Linked DNA regions of Drosophila melanogaster. The protein of the gene in region 1 purifies or fractionates together with the protein of each later gene. This does not show direct contact. Each region holds a gene or a part of one and is shown on either strand. Other genes may lie near its edges.

Region 1 (11,093 bases):
CATTTTTGAAAGCTGCCAGACTGCAGAGCACTAATGTCTTCATACCCTACTATATAAAGTCTGTTAATTCAAAAATAACTTGTTGCTAAAGTACACGATATGTATTAGAGCTCATAAAAATTGTAGCCTACTAAATCATTATACAATTTATAGAAATATTTAATATTATTCAAAAATTTAGAATATAGTTATTCTAAATGTTCCCTAAGAGCCATACCCGCGTAGGGTGTTACAGAGGCCGCCTATGCGGGATTCACACGCACAAAACAAAGGCCTCCGTCCCACTTGCAATGTTTTTGTTTGGGGCGGAATTAGTCACTGTAAATTGACTCAACAACTATGCCAACCGCATAATCCGCCGTAAACCAGAAGCGAATTGCAAGTGCCCAGCTGCGGATCGAAAACAGCAGCCCAGCGAGAAATCACAAAGAGATTCATAGAACCCGTATGCCCAGTGAGCACAGTGAAACCTCCAATTAGCAGTTCGTCGTTCATTTGGTTTCGTTTTTTCTTTTACCCCAGTTCACGCCGTGATGGCCAAGCGCCTGCACCACCAGCCTACCTTCGATGGGGATCCACCCGGTCCGGATGAGCTGGACAGTCCAGCCATCGAGGCGGCGGCCCTCGACATTCCCCCTCCCGAATCCGATAAGGCGCTCCAAAAAGGTTTGTGTAACCATTATCTCACACTCGCAAAATATGTAGGTACAGTGGATAATCTCTAAGGCGAATATTGTCTGTATCTTCTTAGGTGTCTGGGAGCGAGCCACAAGTGCTGAGTATAAGCCGACCACGGATGGGAGCACCGTGCTCCGCTTTGACATCTTGCTGGCCCACATAATGCCGCCCGATGGCGAGGATGTGAAGATCAAGCGGTTCGTGGTCTATGAGCTCACTGTTAAGCAGGATGGAGCCACGGAGGACACTCAGCCGGCAAAGATTGAGCGCCGATACACCGACTTTCGGGAGCTTTATCTGGGCCTTAAGCGGCAGCATCCGGCGGAGATGGCCAACAAGTACTTCCCAGCCAAGGTCCTGATGGGTAACTTCAAGTCCGAGCTGATCGGCGAACGGAGTGCAGCCTTCGAGGCATTCCTCACGTATGTGGCAAGCCAGGCGATGCTCCGGGACTCGGAGTACTTCCTGCGCTTCCTGCAGCACGACGAACTGACCAGGGCGTGCCAGTTTCTGGATGAGCGGCGTAACGAAATGGCCATACCTATTCTGGAGAACTGTTTCCGCTTGCTGAACAAGATATACATGAATCGATCGAGGCCGGTGCTTTTGATACTCTGCCGTCTAGTGGCTGCCTGCACCTCATCCCCAGTGCCTCATCACGCGGCCGAGAGGTGGGCCCTGCTGGCACTGAGTCGCTTCGAGACGTTGTGCGATATTGATCTGCTGCCGCTCTACATTCCCCTGCTTCACACCTGCGCCCATCTGTGGTGAGTCCAATCGAATCTTTCCGCATTAAGAAAAAGGCTAATCTGAATATCTCATCCTTTCAGGTGGCAGCGCGGCCAGGACCAAAAGCCAATCACCGACCGACTGACTGACATGTCCAAGCAGGGCATCAACACGGCGAACACCGAGAGCCTCATGCAGGCTATACACAAGATCGATCCTCGCACTGAAACAATTTGAATCGTGAATCTCCGCTACAATTTTCATCCATTAGTTTAATATTTTGTTCTGTAGTCTTTAGCTGTCCGGCGAAAAGTGCAATTAGATAATGTGTGCAATTAGTTTTAAGGTGAAAGAAGTATTTATCAACCTTTGAGGTAGAGCCCATATGTACCCCCTTTGTCCTCCAAAGTAGTCCGTTCGTGCGAACAATGTGTCACAAAGCATAACCAATTTAAGACAACAATTAAAAAAAAAAAGTATGTACGTCTCTTCGTCTAAATGTTTAATTCGTTATTTTAAAACTCTGATTTTCAAATTAAAATGTTAGATTTTTATAACTAAATCAAAGATTTTCAAATAATTTAACTAAAATTGGTTCTTATTAATAGCTTACATTAATATTGCGACTAAATGTAATTCGAAACAAAAAGGTTCTGTTCGTAACGTACTGCTTTGGTAACTTAAAGGTTAGTCTAAGCATATTTATGTTTCATGTTACGTATTGTTTGATATCTCTTCAATCGTCTAGTTTGTAGTTTGTACCCAGTGGGAGTTGTGATTAAGCCGTGCAACGTACATAATTCACAAATCCATCATCGAATGTCCATGACGCAGTGTCTCAAAATCCATGCCCAGAATTCCATATCAGCCTGCGGAAATATCAGACAAGTCAAACGAACAACGCAGCTCCCAGACTTTTTTGTTTTTTTTTTCTTCCAGCCCAATGTCTTGTGATTGCTTTTTCAATAAATAAATATTATACTCAAGTGTTTTGCAGAACAAATGTGGTCAATTATATCTAAATGGTATATATTTAATGGTTTGCCTTATGCCTATGCTTGTTTGTGAGTCATTTTAGGTTTTAAACTTAGAGCTAGGAGTGCACGCTGATGTAAATAACTTACTGCTAAATTCTGTGAGGATCTCTTGACCGCACTCAAAATGTACAATTCAAATTATATATAACTTATTACGTCAAACAATCGATTCAACTATATTATAAATAGAGGGGTACGTGCGTTTTTAACAAAATTCCTAGCACCCTTGCCACATTACATACATCATTCAAAATGTACAGAATCATCCGAATCCAAACTCATGCATCTCCCTGATTAGCGAAAGAGTCGCGTGAAGGTTTTCAAGGCTTGCGAAATGGCTTTCGTTGTGTCCGCTCTACAAAAGGAAATATAATATATTATGAATAAAATACAAAACGTCTGATGGCAAATCCTCACCTCAGAACTGTGCTGCTAAATTCGTCCAGCTGTTGCTGCGTGGCTGTCACGTAGCCACCGCTGTTCTTTTTGGGCAGTGCCTCCAGCGCCTGGGCCAGGAAGGGCTGCATCCGCTCGTTGCCCACCACCTGCTTCAGTTCGTGGAGCACCTCGGCCACATCCACCAGCATGTAGGAGTGCAGCTGAAAGACGGATGCCTGGATCAGGTTCATCACCAGAGCACCGCCATGCTGACTGGCCAGCTCCACCACCAAGGGACGGCACTCGGTGTTCCGGCTATGGTTATTCGATCTGCCCCAAACCAACAGGTTGATAAAGAACTTCATCACAGACGAGTTGGCCTCGCGGTGGTCCAAGGAGCAGGCTATTAGCGCACACTGGAAGATCGGCGTGATGAGACTGCTCTGGAGCAGCTGGTGGGGACAACAGTCCAGGTAACGCGATGCCAAACGGAAGAAGTCATCCACTGTGTCGGGGTTATTTTTTAGACCGTTCTCCATCTGAAGCAGGCCAAATGTGGGCTCTATAAATGCCTGAAGCATCTCCAAAAGTCCGCCAATGCACTCGCTGGACTTTGCGAACTCGTCCACCAGTATGGAACCCACGTAGAGGAAGCAACTGTGGTGCTGCACAGAATACAGCACGACCATTTGTTTGATCAGCGGTTCCACCAGCATCATTGCTTGCTTTCTCACCATCCGAATGCCGTAGCGAATCAGTCGGCAGGTGCGCTCCATGATACGCAGATCACTCTGGTACTTATCCATCACCCGCGATATCAGCTGCCAGGCGTCGTTCAGAATAGCTACCGTGGGGTGCTCCACGTTGTCGGGAACGTCTGGATTCGTGTGTCGGATAATGGCGCAGGCGCGGTCTATCCAGTAAACGGGATCGGTGCGCTCTCCCTTTTGAGGAGTACTGCCAGTGCTGTCCACCAATTGTGCCAGTGGTTGCAGCTGGAAGCCGACGATTTCCCGCAGAGCAGGCTGCAGTTGCTCGCGTGGCAGGCGTGTCAGTATAAGCGATATGCCCTTTAGCAATCCTATTGCCACATCGTTGTTTATTTGAAAGCTGTCCAGACTGCGGGCGATCTCCACAAGACCGCTTATATGGCACACCATCTTCTGTCGGCAGGCGGAGCAAATGGAAGTCAATGCAATGGCCGCAGCTGGCGCCAAGCCATTTTTCTGCTGCAGGGCGTACAGCAAAAAGTTTAGGACTGCCTCCAGCGATTCAGGATGGTTCTCAATCCAGTCGCACAGTTCGCCGATCAGTAGAATCGCAGTGTACCTAACTGCTATGTGCGTTTGCTCCGACATATTGAGAATCGCCTCCACCACCTTGGGGATCACTTCGTTCTCATCTCTGCAAGGTAAGTATTGTAAATCTGACATGGTAATAAACAGCTGCATACGTACGGAAGTATATTTTTGGCCACGTTCTGCATAATGAACAGTGCTGCCTCTGTGGACTCCCACGTAGTTTCTGGAGCTTGCAGGATATGAAACATTTGCTTGAAGCACGCTCCAGATCCCACTATGAAGGCCACGTCTTTTATTAGATCTGAGACCTTGCGTCGAAAGTCCTGCAATTCATTTGTTTTAAGATTAGTACAATTAACTTCAAGGCATTATATTAATTTAACGTTGATAATGTAGAAAACTAATCAAACTTCTTGTACTCATTTCTAAATAAACCGACTCTAGCCATAAATGCCTATTCAATTAAAATACCCAACTTCAAAGAAAACTGCTAAAATTTCTCAATATCACACACTCACAAAGAAATTGTTGTTCTCCTCGATGAGCCCGTCGTGGTCGCTCTCCATTTGCGAGTGGCGAAACAGGGCGCTGATCAGCCGCTCGATGTGCGGCCGGAATAGAACCGTCAGCTTATCCTCGTTGCGCTGGAATAGATCCTCGGAGAGTTTGTACCACAGGTGGAAGGTGATCTCGGCCACCTCGTAGTCGAAGTGTCCGACGCAAAGCAGCACAAGATCCAGTCCTTTCAAACTGTAGTGTGGCTTCTGGGCATCGGCCAATAAATCGTAGAAGAAGGCATCGCACAACGAGGTGAAAATTCGGCAGTAGTTGATCGTCTTGTCGGTGTCCTCGTGCGCCACACTCAAGTGATAGGGAGTCTCCAGCATGCAGACAGCTCCAAAGAGTTGTGCCTCGAAAGAGGACTCCGGATCGCTGGCGCCATCCTGTCGTGTGTTTATGCAGGAGAGCAGCGCACACACGCATTCGGTGGCATTGTCGTGCAGTTTTCCACTGGTCTCCGGCAGCGAGAGCAACCGGAAGGCCAGCTGTGTGAGGGCGTTGTTGTACACGTGCGAGACGGGAAAGGCATGGATCACCAGCCAGGCACTGTAGGTGCGCAACGCCGCATTCCACACGCGCTGCTGGTCGAGATCCTCCCGCTGTAGGCACATACACAGGAACTTTAGGACACACTCTGCGCTGGCGTCCAGCTGCTTGTGCACCTCCTCGCGCCGATTGGCGCCCAGCCGCAGATACCGTGAGTCTATTTCCTCGGGAAGCACCTTGAGCACCTCCAGCAGGGGCCAGATGGCGCACTGATGTGGCGCCAGTGTCACCAGAAGATCGTTGATCGGCTCCCGCCAGCTGGCCATCAGCAGGGCCAGATCGGCAACCGCCAGACTGAGCTGCGTCACAATCACATTGTCCGTCTGCTCGTCGATCTGGCCTATGTGTGTGATCAGTGAATCCCGCAGAGATTCGTGCGTGTGCGGTGGCAGTTCGCTGAAGGAGTTCTGTATCTTGTTCCGCATGGTCTGCGCAGCAAAGTAGTTGGCGTGCAGGTCTCGTTTCTGGTGAAGCAGCTCGTCCGCAATCGTCCAAGAATAGATCTTTAAGGAAGTCCAAAAAAAAACTTAGCAATCGCACGAAGGTTTCGTACACCGGGCGATTATCACTCACCGACTTCTGGAAGTCCTGGAGCCATTTGTTGGCCTTCTCCTGCTCCTTGGGATTGTTGCCTTGGAAGAGGGCGCTGATTGCTTGGTACACCACGTCCACCGAGTACGTATCCATTTCATCGGCAGCTTTAATCAGCGCATAAAATTTCTTAATTACTTATTATTATACTTTATTAGCGATGGCTGATTGCGTACATCCCGTGTATCGATAACGCAAGGAGGTGGCATGCGATAACTTTGAAAGGTGAATGTCCGATAGTCTGCAGGACTTTTTGAAATTATTCAGGGTTGTCAAGTGCGTCAAACATTAAGGACCATTAAAAATAATTAAAATATTTTTACAGTCAAATATTTTTTAGCTTATGTGAATTCGTTTTTTGAGCAATAAAGCTACTCGGTTTTTATATCTTAATACTTGCCACCCCTATGTAGTCGATACATCGATACCATTGGTTGCTCGCAACAACATCTCTAATCAGTTTTCTGATCAGAATTCTGCAATGGATTCGGACAGCACCGTGACTTCCTTGGAGGAGAACACGGAGAACTTTTGCACGAATCCCACGCGCGACATCCTCGCCGAGGGCATCACCAATCTCTTCAAGCCGACGATCGAGCGGTTGGACGAGCGCGTGGCCTCCACCATCCAGCTGCAGGCTGAGCTGCGTGGCCAACTGGATGCACTGGCCGCCCAGCTGAGGGACATCGAAAAGGCGCAGAGTCAGATACCCGAGTTCGCGGACAAGGTGAAGGAGCTGCTGAACGTCAAGCACAAGGTGACGGTCATAAGCAACGTGTTGGTGACCAGCCAGGAGCGGCTGACGGGTCTGCACAAGCTGATAGAGAAGGAGCAGCGGCGGCGACAGGCGCTTCTCGATTCCGCGCTCAGCACCAACATATCCTAAATCCAATTACTGTTCGTCATGGAGACGCCCTACACCGACCACTTGAGCCCAGAAGATTTCGAGCACGTTTACGAGCCAGCGGAGGACTCGTTCCTGCTGCTGGATGCCCTGGAAAAGGATCTGGAGTACCTGGACCGGCTACAGCCGAGTCTCTGCGTCGAACTGGGCTCCGGTTCGGGTGTGATCATCACGGCGCTGGCCAAGAAACTGGCTGGCTTTTCGCTGTGCCTAGCTACGGATATCAATCCCAAAGCCTGCAATGCCACTCGAAGAACTGCGACTCGGAATGGCGCTCGCTTGGATAGCATTCGCTGCAGCCTAGCGGATGCACTGCGTCCGCGATCCGTGGACGTGCTGCTCTTCAATCCGCCCTATGTAGTCACCAGTGACGAGGAGCTGCAGACGCAACAGTTCGATTCGCACAGCGAATCCTCAACGGATCGCAATCTGGTTTTCTCCTGGGCTGGTGGACAGGACGGGCGACGCGTCACGGACATTCTACTCAAGCAATTGGATGACATTCTTTCGCCTCGAGGCGTGCTCTACCTACTCCTGCTGCGGGAGAACAAGCCGGAGGAGATTATCAAATACTTAGAGGGCCTCCAGTTCCGGGCTGTTAAGTTCATGGAGCGACGCATTCCTGGCGAGCATTTGTGCATACTGAAGGTCACCAGGTACTTGGCATCATCATGACTCGTGCAATAGCATCAAATTAAAGTTGTATTTTAATTAAAAGATAAACTTTTTTAGGCGTTTATTCTTAAATTTGATACTAAATAATATGGAGAATAATTTTAATAAAAGTTGAAATAAATGAAAGAAATGGCTTATGAAACTTAAAAGCTCTTAAACTTTTAGAAATTTTTGCGCTTATATTTGAATTTGAATATAAAAGTAGCTCAACTTCATTTGCCCAACGAAGAGCCCGGAATTTCATCATTCGTTTTTTTAATAGGCATCTGCTAAGGCTAATCGATTTTCAATCCGAAAAAGGTACTTAATCAAAGGAAATTTCCGATTGAATTTTTCCATCATCCCTTAGTATATGATTTCTTTCATAGGGAGGATTGTGGGAACCAGCTCGTCAACCCCCGAACGAAAACTGGGATATGGAAGGGATGGATCGGAGTAATGTAGGGGCGGCCAATCTATGAATTATGTACCTACATACGTACATGCTCCTGGCTAAGAACTACTACCCCTGGGAACACCGAAGCGAGGTGATTGCCCCACCCAAAATGGCCAACTGCAATTGAAACAAACTTTTATTGGCATCGGAACAGATGCCAAATGGGTGGTATGTACGTACGGTTTTCGCTTTTACGTAATTACAATAATTTATTTCATCGTTCAAAATTGTTTCTTATTCTCGTTTTCGATTCGTGGTTCTTTTCTCTTTTTGCCCTTTCGCGCTACTAGATGTTATTCTCGCACGGAGCAGATACATGAGTAATTGGTATTTACAAAAATGCATAGTTCTTTAACATTGTCTGTGATATCGCTATTGTTTATCAGTTATCAAATCGGATGATTTATCTTGGGCATATTGGTTTAATTGCACTCAATTATTCAGTTGCTGGTTGGCATTACCAGCTTTAAGCCTCTTGGAGTTTGGATCTGGGTCAGTGGGTGGATTGTGTGTGTATGTTGGGCTGGTCTGTCTTTCCGGGACAAATCGTTTAGATTCGAGGATGGTGGTGGTTGGGTGGTTTCGGTGTCGAGTGCCGTGATTGACCAGCTGGGCACGATTCGTTTTGAAATATCAGTCGTTATATGTTTATATTGAGAACTCGTCGTACGGGGTGTGTGTATAAATAGTTTGGATGCCCTTACTAATTAGATACATGTAACATTAAAAGTTTATTTTCTTGCTCGTTTTTCGATTCTCGAGTTGGTTTTTACAATTTACAAATGAATTAGGCTTATCAACGACTCGCTCGCACAACTTATCAACAGAATAATAAAGCCCTCGCTTTAATACTGACATAAGTACTTAAGATTAGTCATAGTTTATAGTTAAATGCTGAAACGAAACAGAAGGTTAGAACTCAAACTTCCCGATGTTTTCCTTTCATTTTTTTTTGTTTTTTTTTTTTGTATTTGCCCCAAAAGCGAAGACCAACTAAGTCCCAGTGCCTTGGGTTTGGGAAATTCGGGTGACTGTGGCCACAATGGGCGCGAAATTTTTGAAACCATAGCTAAAACTTGAGTGTCATTGAATGCTTGTCGAGTATGGGGTTTCAATGATTTTTGCGATTTATTTAAATACAATTTTTATGTTTTATTTGTTTTGTATTTAATTGCATTTGCTGTTTCTTTTTCATGTTCATAATCATGTTCATTTTCAAATGTTCACTTTTGTATTTTTGCTTCTTTCGATCGATCATTCATTCACAAATGTAACGTCTAATTTAATAATGAATTTGAATATCGTGTGTGTGTGTGAGTGTAGTGTATCTGTGTTTAATTCGCGGGCTTCGTTTACGCTACATTTGAAATCTTTGTATATCTTGGTTTACGCATCAACTGGGCGTTTAAATTAGGACTTATGAGATAAAGGAAAGAAAGATTTTGGTTTTGTTTTGTTCTTGTATATAGTGGGGATGTTTACTTTTTGTTGGATTCCGTATAGGTTGCGTTTATACGAAAATGCCTTCAATTACAATTTTTGTTTGTTTTGTAGTTTTTTATAAAAAAAGTACACATAAAATACAATTAAAATAAGGTAAGAAATAAAAAATTATTTCTTAAACATAAAAATTATATACTTTTGCGATTTTTTTGTGGTTTTTTTCTCCTCCTCCTCCTCATTTTCTCCTTGTTGTGGTTTATTTTCTGCTTGTTGGTTTATTATTATATTTTTTTTGTTTTGTTTTTGCTTGTAACTTTTATTTATTATTAATTTAAATTTTTGTTTGTTTTTGTTTGTATTTTTGACTACATTATTATTACGCCTGATCGTCCGAGCCGGAACCGTCATCATTATCATCATCATCATCTGCGCGGGTAAGGGAAAGGGAAAATCCGGGGATTAGATTGATGTGGAAAAGGGAAGTGCTTCCGTGAACTCACCATCACATTCAATGTCATCCTCCTCACCATCGTAGGGGATGTCGTACTCGTCGCTCTCGATTTCACTGTCGCCCTCGATGATTTCCTCCAGAGCCTCTTCCTCATCGGAATCTCCATCGGCGGCCGCGGCCTTCTTGGCCTTCTTTGATTCTGCGGATTTGGCCTGGAAGCGAAAAAAGAGAAGTTAGTAGAGTTCCTTTGGTTTTTGTTCCGCTGATGATTTACTGTATTACAAGCAAGTTTATTGAACAGAAATAAGGGGCCCGTCACTATTAATTATGCATTTTTGATATTAATCTGAGAAACAAACTAAAGGATATTAGGGAGAATTACGGAGCGAAATGGTCCTACGCGCCCAACTCAAACCCACACATCTCCTTGATCAAGGGCATCCAATACCCCTCTCAACTTCCTGTGCGTGTGTACATAGTCATAAAATGTATATTTTCAGCACACAAAACAAGCAGCGACGAAAATCGTTATTTTCGCCGTAAAAAAACATTTGAAAAATGCGCGCGCCAATGTAATTCGCTGCGGCAAAAAGAGACAGCGGGAGAGAGAGTACGTGAGAGAGTGGATTACAAGTGCAACCGCGCTACATTACATCTGTGCTCCGTATGTACAAGGCGACATATTTACTACATAAGGGGGAAGGAAAAAAAAACAATAAGCAGCGACGCCGGCAGCGACATATGTATCCGCATCCGTGAGATACGAAACGAAGCGTGCCCTGTAAGATAGAGAGCGGGCGAGAGCGCCAGAGAGAGAGCATCTGAATCCGCAGCACTGTAAACTGTACCTGAACTGCATGAATGAATCTCTCGCTCTCACTCACAGCCATCCGAACGACAGCTGCTGCAGCGACGTCGGCAGCGAAAAAGGCGCAAAACAACAACATGCGTGGGTTTAACTTTTGCCGCTGACCAACCAACAACAAGATACACATAATGGTATATGGTTTATGGCAGTATATAGGCGGTCACGTTCCCAAGTCGAAGAGAAGCCGCAACACAAGGGCCCTATTTACCAGACTGTTACAAAGCGGAAGAAGCGAAAAACAATCGGACTGTGGAAAAATGTGCAAAATTAATGGCCACCCATCGCCCCCCTTTTTCACTTCGCTTACAGCATAAGTCACGAGACCCAGAACTCGAGAAAAGGCCAATAGAGGATTAAGACGAACAGGGTGTATCTGTATTGGCAAGAACTAAGCCTACTATTACTGGTGTTATAACTGGGTAATCAATGTATCTTGATTTAGTTAGAGGTTTTAGTTTGTGTTTTCTAAGCGTGAAGATACATTTATAGGGACAA
Region 2 (10,827 bases), on another chromosome or scaffold:
AGCCAGCTCCAGCCAATGTGGCCAAGACCACGCCGCTCAGGGTTCGGCTTTCCGTAATTCCATCCATATAGGCTAGCAACGCTATTCCTGTGTCGCAAAGTATAATGGCCACGATCTGCAAAATAGGGGAGTGATATGGGGAGTTTTGTAAATAACTCAAAAGAAATTATTGATTTACAAAGAATTGTAATAACATATTATTATCATAATCATTACACTATGGTGTAGAAAATAAAGGATTTTGACTTCAAACTTCAAATGTAAGAAAAATTCATATTGTTTCAAGTAAATAACTTGTCACAAGCAAATTGTTGTTTTGTTTTGCCTGCTAACTAACCCAAAGGATGTCCTCACGCTACGGTCGAGCTCTAACCATATTCTCGCCGGATGGCCACCTGTTGCAGGTGGAGTACGCCCAGGAAGCTGTTCGAAAGGGCTCCACAGCGGTCGGCGTTCGTGGAGCCAATTGTGTGGTGCTGGGTGTGGAGAAGAGCTCGGTGTCCGAGATGCAGGAGGATCGGACGGTGCGCAAGATCAGCATGCTCGATCGCCACGTGGCGTTGGCATTTGCCGGTCTCACGGCCGATGCACGGATCCTTATAAATCGAGGGCAGGTCGAGTGCCAGAGCCATCGACTCAACTTCGAAAACCAGGTGACCCTCGAGTACATCACCAGATACCTTGCCCAGCTCAAGCAGAAGTACACGCAGTGCAATGGACGTCGTCCTTTCGGTATATCGTGTCTAATAGGAGGCATTGACGCCGATGGCTCTGCACGTCTCTTTCATACCGAACCATCCGGGATATTCCACGAGTACAAGGCGACCGCCACTGGGCGTTGGGCAAATACTGTGAGGGAGTTTTTTGAGAAGGCCTATAGCGATCATGAAGTGACAACCAAATGTGATGCCATCAAACTAGCCATGCGTGCCCTTCTCGAAGTAACCCAGATGAGCCAGATGCGCCTGGAGGTGGCCGTATTGGAGAATGGCAAGCCAATGAAAATGCTGGACAGTGTAGTAATTTCGGAAATAGTCAAGATCGTTCAGAACGAAAAGGAGCTCCAAGCGAAGGCACATAAAATGAAGAGATGAATTGCTACACCTACAGATCGTTGATTTTTTATGTTCATCAAATTGTTATTAGATATTCATGTTATATTGTTTTGGAGCTTTGTTTAAATTTTGTTGTTTTTGTTTTGTTTTTAAATTAATTAATATACAGTTTTAACCATGTTTTGATGTTTGTGAAGGATTTTATCTTTGTATAATGCAGTAATTAATTAAAATTACACGACTTTAAAATTATAACTTTTAAATTTCAAATATGCAGATATAAAGCACTCACTCTAACGCCCACGAACTGCTCGTGCAGGATCACCCAGGATAGCAGGTACACGCATGCCACGTTGGTGGCGAACAGGGCCAGGGCATCCGTGGCGTAGAGGACGTGCAGGGACAGGGTGTACAGGTAGGTGGTGACCAGCCACAAAATGCAGAAGCAGAGGCAGCGATTGAGGAAGCGACCTGCGGACCAAGAGCCAGTCAAAAGAAAGTTTTCATAGGTGTCGCACGACTAAATCCAACTCACCCACTGTGAAGCCGCGCTCCCGGAATCCTCGCAGCACGTCGCCAAGGATGTCGCTCAGCTTCTCGCACTTGCGGGTGGAGACCAGACCCAGCAGGTAGATGGGGAAGAAGAGCAGCGAGAAGTTGGTGAAGAACCAGGCGGCGAAGAAGGGGGCGCTGAAGTAGACCGGCTGGCGCGGTGGTATGTTGAACATCTCGGTGGCGTCCTCGACGTGGTGCAGCGACGAGTCGCTGATGGCCAGTATATCCTCCAGCTCCGTGCTCAGGTCCGCGCGGCTCGAGGACGTGTCCTGGTCGTCGTTCAGCAAGTCGTCGTACGGAGCACGGTACTTGTACATGTACTTAATGCAGTGGGTGGCCCCCACCCACGACGCGGTCATCAGGATGGTCACGCACACTCCGAAGTACATCTGTAAAGACATCGATCGCATAGCATTAAAATTGAGTGAATGATTCATAAGTTTTCCCACCTTCCGGGCCAGTTCGGAGCAGCATGACTCCTTGCAGGCCTGCAACTTTCGGAAGCGAAGCTCGGACTCCTCGCCGTGCCCGTTGGCTTGCTGCTGCTCCGTCTGGGTGTCGCTGGAGTCGCCGCCTCCGAAGTGGTGCGCCGCATTGTGGCTGCCCGGTGCGCTCGTTGGTGTGTCCGCCGGGATGATGACCACCTCATTGGGGTCCTGTTGGCTCGACGATATCGAGTCTTGGTGGGTTATTTGCGGATTGCTCGAGGTGAGCACGTTGCTGAACCCGCAGCTGCCCGCTGCTCCGCTGCCACTGCCGCCGTTTTGGGCAGACGAACCGGGGGCCACTGCCGTGCTGCTGCTGGCTCCCGCCCCGCCGGTGCTATTGTTGCTGTACGGTCCATTCGTCGAGGAGTCGCCGGTGACCACCACGGAAGGAGTGCGCACTCTTTTCGGATTGAAAATAGCTGGAATTTCGCCGTCGCGCGTCATGCTATCATCATTACCGAGCTCCTCTGTCGCTCATAGTGATCCGGTCCTGCAAAATCAATAAATCATAAATACCAGAATCTAGCAAGCTTATTCTTTATGTATATTTTTGGCCTTAATATCACCTTCCATACCTAAATGTATGCCTTCACTTTTGAACGCAGAGTAAACTTAAGGTTGAAACTGGACTTGATGTACTTTTTAAAGGAAGCAATAGTCCTCGGCCCGCGGCCTAATAAATGATTCAGTTCGATTCGACCAGCCATGTTCCAGCACTGCTGCAAAGGCTAAGCAGTCTCGAATCAGGCTGTTCACGTGCTTCCAGCGATTAAAGATTGAGGAACACGCAAATGGGGGGCCATTTCTCGACTCTTTACAAGTGAAAGGCGCACCCAAAGCCCACGCAGCTTGTTCAGGGTCCGAGCAATTTGCATGGGCCCCACTTTTTACCACTGCCCTCATCCCAGGATATAGCGTTGGCCAAACTCAAGGCTAGGGCAGCCAAGTTTTACGAGCACCGCCGCACAACCAGCCAACCAACCAACCAACCAAACAGCCTGCCAGCCGGCCGTTCATTAAAGTCCAGACCCGACCAGGAGCACATTGATTGGATGGCCACAAAGGCGAGGGACGGGCTCATAACAATGCGAATTATGAACGCCCCAGCTCAAGCAGGTCAAGTTGAGTGGACAATAAACTGCCAACCGGATCTCGCCGGCAATTTGTAAGCGTTCTTAGTAGAGTGTTAAGTCCAGCCCCCCACCACCACTACTACCACCAGGCCGGATGAGTTACAATGTCCTTCGGTGTCCTTCACCTTCGCATCCCATCGAGCAGCTTGTGCGCTTGCCTTCGATAATCGTATTCTAATTGAAACATTAATTATTCAACCTAGTTGAGGCTCCTAGCAGGCTCCCAGGGTAAGAGGGCGCGAGGGGAGATTCCAAGAGTCTAATGGCTATATAATGAAGGTCCTAATAATTGCCTGTAATTTTAAGCGGTTAAGAATAATATTCCATCGATTTCCAAGCAGTCGAGCAAAACCAAAATGATTTGAAATCCGCAACTCTGGCATTTTGCACAATTATTTTAATATGCCTAATATGGGACTATATACAGCCGATATGCCGTCTATTTGAGTTAATAAAATATTTTAATTTAATTTATGATTGGGGAACTCCAATACTAGTTGTAAGTTGAAGGTGAGTTAGGTCTGTGAGCAAATTTTGTTGGCTAAGAAGTGGCATATCTTCATATCTTAATATCTTTAATATGACTTCAAAGAAAGTAGTCAGACTAAGGAAGATTCAAAAAGATTAAGGTTTACCAAAAATGCTTGATAGTCACACTGAGAATCTTAATAATAAACAACGAGAGAGCGGGAGATTGTTAATTAATTATTCACAGCAAAAGGAAACTGCGCTCTACGCGATCTCATACTATTCAATTCAATTCTGTTCGATTAGTTAACTCTGAGCACTTGAGCACATCGTCATAAAAATGCTTCACAGCGGAAAACTTGTTCAGCTTTTGACTCTGGCTTGGCTAGGCGGTTAGTAAAATTGAAACAGTTGTATGTTTACTACGAGTATTTATTAAAAACGCTATATACGTTTTCAGCATTGACGATGGCAGAATTTCGATGCGGTCGTCTGGATGAAAAGCTATTGTACACCACCAACGAGCAGGCGGAACCCTCCGAGAATCCCTGGGTGGGCATTCTGCTGGAGGATCAGGGTCAGTTAACTTTAGAAGTGTTAACTATGAAAAGCCCCCTTCTAAAGCCCCAAGTTAATAATTAATAACATGACCTATGCTTTTGCTAATGCCCTTTGTGTCCACCTTCGATGATTTTCTAGGAAATCGGTACGAGAATACAAGGTGCTCCGTAGTTATTATTAACGAGCTGCACATCCTCAGTACTGCGACGTGCGTAAAGCGCTTTAGCCAACGATCCGGAGACACCAAAGCCGTGGCAATGTTGGGCGTTTGGGACGAGACTGACTCCCCGGAGGAGGAGCTGTCGTGCAACGACAAGGACTTCTGTGTGCCGGGGCCTGAGCTGTACAAGGTGGTGGAGATCAAGGTCCATCCGCAAACGGACAAGGACACGGGGGACAACGACTTGGCCATCCTTCGGCTGGAAAAACCAGTCGAGTGGACCAACTGGGTTCAGCCGATCTGCTTGGAGGGCACTTCGGAACCGGAAACGCTGACCAATCGCAACCTGCACTACACCGGATTCAACCATATGGCCTCGGAGAAGGGCAAGGGGTTGGCCATGACAGTATCTACTCAAAAGTGCAAACAATTGACATCCTCCAGCGTCCTAGTACCGGTGAACCAGCTGTGCGGCTATCCCGTGAAGAGGACCAAGTTCTATCCGGGAGCACCACTGATGGACATCGATGTGCGAGATGAGAAGCCGCACAACTTCTACCTGGTGGGCATTCTGGTCCGGAACGTAGATGCCGGACAGGCTACCACTCAAGTCTATCAGAATGTCCGACGCGCCCGCTCCTGGATAATGGAAAATTTGAAGTAGAAAGTACAACTTGTTATGTGAATACTCAATAAACTATTCAACATGAGGAAGTAAAATGTTGTGGGTTCAGTGAAATAACTGATGCATCGTGACGGGAACTGCCCAGGGATTCGCATCGGAAACGGGTTTTCGATCGGTAGCCGTAATGTAATCTTACACCATTAATTAGATACGTAGAATAACAGGTAGTTGGAAGAGTTAGTTGAAAATTTTAACAAACATTACACGGAAAGAAATCAACTCATTCTTGGAGAAGGGAAATGTGCTGATCAAATAGTATTAGTAACACTAATAGTAATATTTAAAATCTTAAAATATTTTATATAAAGGTTTCGAAATACACTTCACTATTGATTTCATATATATTTTAAAAAATTGTAAAAACAATTGTATTTTCGTTCTAGTGTTCCTGCTAAGCTCTATCGATCATAAGCTTCTGGGTAAATCCCCTGAGCAACATGCATTGTCTGTTTTTCCAGCTCCCAGTCAGTTGACTTTGAGCTGCGCTTCAGAATGCTTGGTAGAATCGCAGTTTTATTATTGCTCGTCGGTCTTTTTGGCCCGGAAGTTCGGTCGGCGAAAGTGAATGATGACCAGTGCGGTGCATTCGACGAAGATCAGATGCTCAATATGCAAAGCACCTTCGCCATTCCCACGGAGCACCAGTGGGTGGCCCGGATAGTGTATGGCAAGGGTAAGAATCTCTGAGCTGCTCAGTTAATCCGAAATACAACTTCGTTTAATACTTCAGGGTTTGAGGGCAAGATTCGGGACAATGGATGTCTGGGCGTGCTGGTATCGAAGCGCACTGTCTTGGCGCCCGCCCACTGTTTTGTCCAGTACAACGGAGTAGCGGAGGCCTTCTCCGTCCACCTGGGTGTCCACAACAAGAGTGCTCCGGTCGGAGTGCGAGTCTGCGAAACGGATGGCTATTGCGTGCGTCCGTCGCAGGAAATCAAGCTGGCCGAGATAGCCATCCATCCGGACTACGACTCGCGAACCTTAAAGAACTCCCTGGCGGTGCTGACTCTTCAGCGAGACGCAAAGATCTACCCAAATGTAATGCCAATTTGCATGCCACCTCCAAGCCTGCTCAACGAGACCCTGGTTGCTCAGACGTTTGTAGTAGCTGGTCTTCGCGTCTTTGAGGACTTCAGACTAAAGACCTGGGTAAACACGCTGAGTCGCGGCTTCTGTCAATCGAAGGTCAAGACGCTGGTGACCAGCAGCAACACGGTTTGTGGCTACCACAAGCAACCGGTAGCTTATTACTTGGGCGCACCTCTAGTGGGGTTGCAGAAGAAGGGGCACGTCACTCAGAACTACTACCTGGTGGGCATCATGATCGACTGGCGCTGGGAGAACAACCGCATCATGTCCAGCTTTCTGGCCATACGCAACTACATGGACTTCATCCGACAGAACTCCAACTCACTGATTGTACGCTCCTGAACCTCGAATAAAGTTAAGAGAAACGCCAGCTGCCAACAGGTCTTGCTGGGGTGTTAATTATTCAGCTCCAAGCCCGAGACTCGTGGCGCGCAGCTCGCAGCTCGAAGCTCGTGCAACATGCAAATTGTTCCTACACTTATAGCATTTTAATGAGCAGTCACTCAGCGCAGCGCAGCCGCCGCTAGTTGGCTAATGCGAGGAATATGGAAATTTCATCGCTTTCACCGAGAACCCCCCCGCCCTATAAAAGTATAAAAGTCTGGCAGTCGACAGGAGACAGCCGAAAATGTTGCAAATACCCAGCAGAACGGAAACGGAAGTCTAGGGGGCTGAATAGCCGAAGGCGCTGGGTGGTGGGGAGCAAGGATGTGGGCTGCCTTGCTATTGGACGAATGCCAAGACGTTGCCTTAACTGACAGAGTTCGAATATGTCTAGGAGGACAACGGAACGCTTACAGAGGGATAAAGTGGATAAATTAAAAAAAAACAAATATTCGCAAAAACATGACTTTATATCAGCAAAGTCATTAAATTCTCTTATCTGTGGGAAATTAAGTAAAAGAAGTTAAATCTTCGGCTGACTTCTTGCTTTTTGAAAATTAGGTGTTATTTGAATTGGCACCGTTTTATGTTTAAATACCAGTTTTTAAAACTAGTTGACAGGGAGTAGTTTTAGTGTAAAGGAATGCAAATAGTTTACCATTTTGATTTTCTTTGTGCACTTAATGGCGTATTTTAGGTAAAAGTTTTGTTTATGAGCTAAAGGGACATTGTTTATATCGAAAATTTTGCAACGAGTGTAGAGAACAAAACAACAAGGAGGATTGAATATTAAATTGCTGGAAAGTTTTGTCATTTATGATCACCCTTCTCTTCCCCGAGGTGTCGTCCAGCTAATACAGACACATCGCTTTTATCGCCGTGTTGGAACATTCTTTTGGGCGCCAAATTGCTCTATAAAGACGAGCTGGGGAAAGATGCGCTCGCTGTTTACTTTTGCCAAGAATAAAAATCACAATAAAATTTAAATTGCCAGACATGAGGGCCTCAAGATGAAGATGGGCAGAAAACGTGACCAAATGACCGACAATAGACGGGGATAAACATCGCATTCCTGCCTCAGTTTGAGGAGAAATGCGATTCAAAACAAAACAAACAGCTGAACGGGAGAGAAAGTGCGCCGGAGAATAGAGAAAGCAGCTCAGTCGCGAGAGAGAGAGAGACTGTCCCACTGAGAGGGCCCACAGCTTTGCGTGGGTGGTGTGCTGGCCAAAAGTAAACGAGCTTACAACAAAAACGGCGAAAAACAGCCAACAGTAAGCGTACAAACACACACCTCGGTCGAGGACACCACGCGGCGTATACGCAATGTGACACTTTTAGTGGTTATGGTCAAGCACAGCACTTGAGCGAGGGCAATGCGAGAAGGAAAACGAAAGTGACGCCAAAAACACAGCCAGTCAGACAGACACCTGCTCGACGGCAAAGGCAACCACAACGCCCGCCACCCGCCACCTGCCACTTGCCACCTGGGACACACGGAAACAAATTGCTAAACCCAAGTTCTATAGGGTCACGAAGGGTGCTACGTAGATTCAGGCGGTTCATTCGCCTTTTACCATGTAAATTAATAAATTTTAATAGCCTACTTAAGGGCAACACGTTTGTTAATTTAATATATTTAAATATTCGGCATCTTTCATGGATTTGAGTGATATGTTTTTATTGCATTCCCATATTTATATTTATTTAGGCACCTAAATGTTCGAAAAAGAATCGCCCGCCAAGATGACTTTATTTCGCTGGCTTGATCTGTTGCGATGTTCGTATGTGAATGTGGTCTTTGGGGCTTTGGGTTAGTGACTAGACCTTGAGGTTGGCGCACACCTTGACAGTAGTCGAAAATCTAGCCCAACCACCCACTTCGCCCACGGCTCAGAAACGGTTGTGACAACCTGGGACGGTTGAATTTTTCATATTGCCACGAAAACAGGGCAAGGGAAATTGCCTGGCGAATATCCGTTTATCTTGGCCAAAAGATAGCGGAAGGCCTGAAAAGTGTTTTTCCATGCTGCACAGCTGTCGCTTTGAATGTCTCCGAGTTTTTAATGGCCAGCGAGGCGTTTAATGTTTTTATATAATTTACTTAAGCACTTAATGTCATTTTCCCACGGCACGACCACATGGTACACAAACTTTACGCAATTCGTTGGCCTTCTCGAGCTCTTTTCTCTTATATAAAGATAGCGAGCGGGCCGAAAAGAACACAACTGGACTGGCGACACTGTTCTCCGCGGTCGAGCTCAGCCCTTTACTTAATTCAATTAAATGTGCAAAAATATGCTGGGTATAAATTTGGAGCAGCTCGCCAGCGAAACGCTGTACGGATACACAAAACGAAGGAAGCACACACAGATACACACACGCACACGCAGGCACACACGGGGATACACTTGCTCACATTTACACAGGCATTGGGTCTCACTCACGAGCGAAACGAACCGCTGGCTTGGCCCAAAAAAAGCAACTGCCACTTGAACGAGCCTTTTGACTTGTTTTCCTTCGACTTAGGTGGAAACTGTGACAGCAGCGTTTCTGGCGCTAGCTGCCGCTGGCGTTTTTCCAACTCTCCTTTTCTAGAGCACACGACGCGGCCGTCCTGGAAAGCGTCGTTCTCCGTCGTTTCTGGCCAGCAATCTCAAAGTCGACTGAACCGATTACTGAACTGAGCTGCCTTGCAAGTGGCCAAGTCGAAAGCTTTTCCTGTCTCTCCCAGCCTCTCTCTCTGAGCTACGCTTTCCCTCGCTCTCTTCGGTTTGGCAAAGAAAAACACTTGTTAGGAATTTTCTTTGCTCTTTTCTTTTTGCTTTTTGTTTTCGTTTTGCTTTTGTCGTTGCATTTCGCGGCTTCAAAAGGACTCAATAAATTGCTTGCGATTTGGGCTGATAAGGATTTTCACATTTCGTGATTGCCGGAGCAAAAATAAGTTATATTAAGCCAATAATATCGCTTTGCTTCATAGAAAAAAACGACAAAGAGAAATTTATCATGGCCATTTTATATTACTTTTCCAGTTAAGCAACTTCTTGTGTGCATAGATTTTATTTTGTTCTATTTACGTAGTCTAAAGAATATTATATTATTATATTTAAATTAGTATTAGTAAATGTTGTTTGTTTTATGCAACCAATTCAGAATTGATTTAAGGGATTACTACTAAAAACTTTTTGTTTTGGTGTCTCTTGATTGAGCAATCTGTGCAAAAGGTAAAACTTTAATTTATTATTTTAAGGAGCTTAACACAATTTTTTATTTCAAGCAACATCTTTAGAAAGTGTGATATTTCTTTCACATGATTTCCCTTTGACGAAAACATATCATATCTCCATGCTCCAATTTCATCAGTAATAAAATTTGACAAATTTGTCAAATCTATCTAATGTGTCTATTTAGGGCTGCCACCACAATCAGCATAGTTATGCCATAAAAAATAGGAGCTGCCTAGACGGTGCATCCATTAATACACCCATATGTTTATATAGATCGTAAAATCTTGATAAGGAGAAGACCCCATAAGCATAAATTCGTCAGGAGAAAGCATTTCGCAAGCCGACGACTCATCCCAGACAGCTTAGCATAAAATTTCGAAATCAGAACCCGCCAGCAAACGAGTTTTTCAGTCGCAGCCAAGAACTGAATGGCGTATTAATTGTGTAATCTATAAAAATCCATTTACATATGCATGGGCGAGATTGGCAGCTGCCAACGAGCCCCGCGGGAGATATGAAGATGGTCTCCAAATTGGGTTAGTTGGCTTAGTGTCGGCATGAGTTAGGGCCACCAACATGGCCATAGCTTTGGAAATGATCTGGGGCTCGGGACAATGCCATTACAAATCAATTTGGCTAAGACTGTGGCTAACCGTTCTGTGAACCAATAAAAACTAATCCAACGAGCTGGTCAAAAAGACAAAGGCATCACCGTCGAGCTGTTGACCACTGATTTCGCGATTCGGATGAGTTTCAGTTTCCCTTCGACCGGGAACGGTAACGGACGCATTCGAAATACTATATAGTAAGCCCGACGAACATATTGTATACAGCAATGCAGTGGCAATTGTTTACTGCCCTAGTGCTTTTTGTAGCATGGAGTTGTCCTTCGCAAGGAGTAAGGATATCCGCAAACGAGATGGAGCGACGCTTGCCGCAAAAGCAGGCAAAGATTGGGTGAGCAAACGTTGACGACTAACAATGAAGTTTTGATTTTCGACAGATATGACATTTATATAACC

The links.
Region 2: the proteins of HemK2 (region 1) and CG31199 purify together in Drosophila melanogaster (affinity purification with mass spectrometry, with the first as the bait; one large-scale study listed by BioGRID). This does not show direct contact.

Annotation. Positions count from the first base shown.
Region 1 is NT_033779.5:2,754,857-2,765,949, reverse strand, and holds HemK2 (HemK methyltransferase 2), read left to right. Parts: upstream 1-6,272; 5' UTR 6,273-6,302; coding exon of another isoform or gene 6,303-6,707; 5' UTR 6,708-6,725; coding exon 6,726-7,400; 3' UTR 7,401-7,523; downstream 7,524-11,093. Other genes in the region: Snx21 (sorting nexin 21), read left to right, coding at 448-454, 523-666, 752-1,445, 1,509-1,644; Tnpo-SR (Transportin-Serine/Arginine rich), read right to left, coding at 2,739-2,799, 2,862-4,226, 4,280-4,446, 4,642-5,733, 5,804-5,917; Snapin (SNAP associated protein), read left to right, coding at 6,303-6,707; Bacc (bacchus), read right to left, coding at 9,656-9,705, 9,780-9,942.
Region 2 is NT_033777.3:20,738,536-20,749,362, reverse strand, and holds CG31199 (uncharacterized protein), read left to right. Parts: upstream 1-5,493; 5' UTR 5,494-5,597; coding exon 5,598-5,778; intron 5,779-5,835; coding exon 5,836-6,536; 3' UTR 6,537-6,563; downstream 6,564-10,827. Other genes in the region: Prosalpha4T1 (proteasome alpha4 subunit, Testis-specific 1), read left to right, coding at 345-1,094; CG42322 (uncharacterized protein), read right to left, coding at 1-115, 1,348-1,526, 1,591-1,999, 2,060-2,542; CG31200 (uncharacterized protein), read left to right, coding at 4,040-4,091, 4,160-4,276, 4,399-5,084.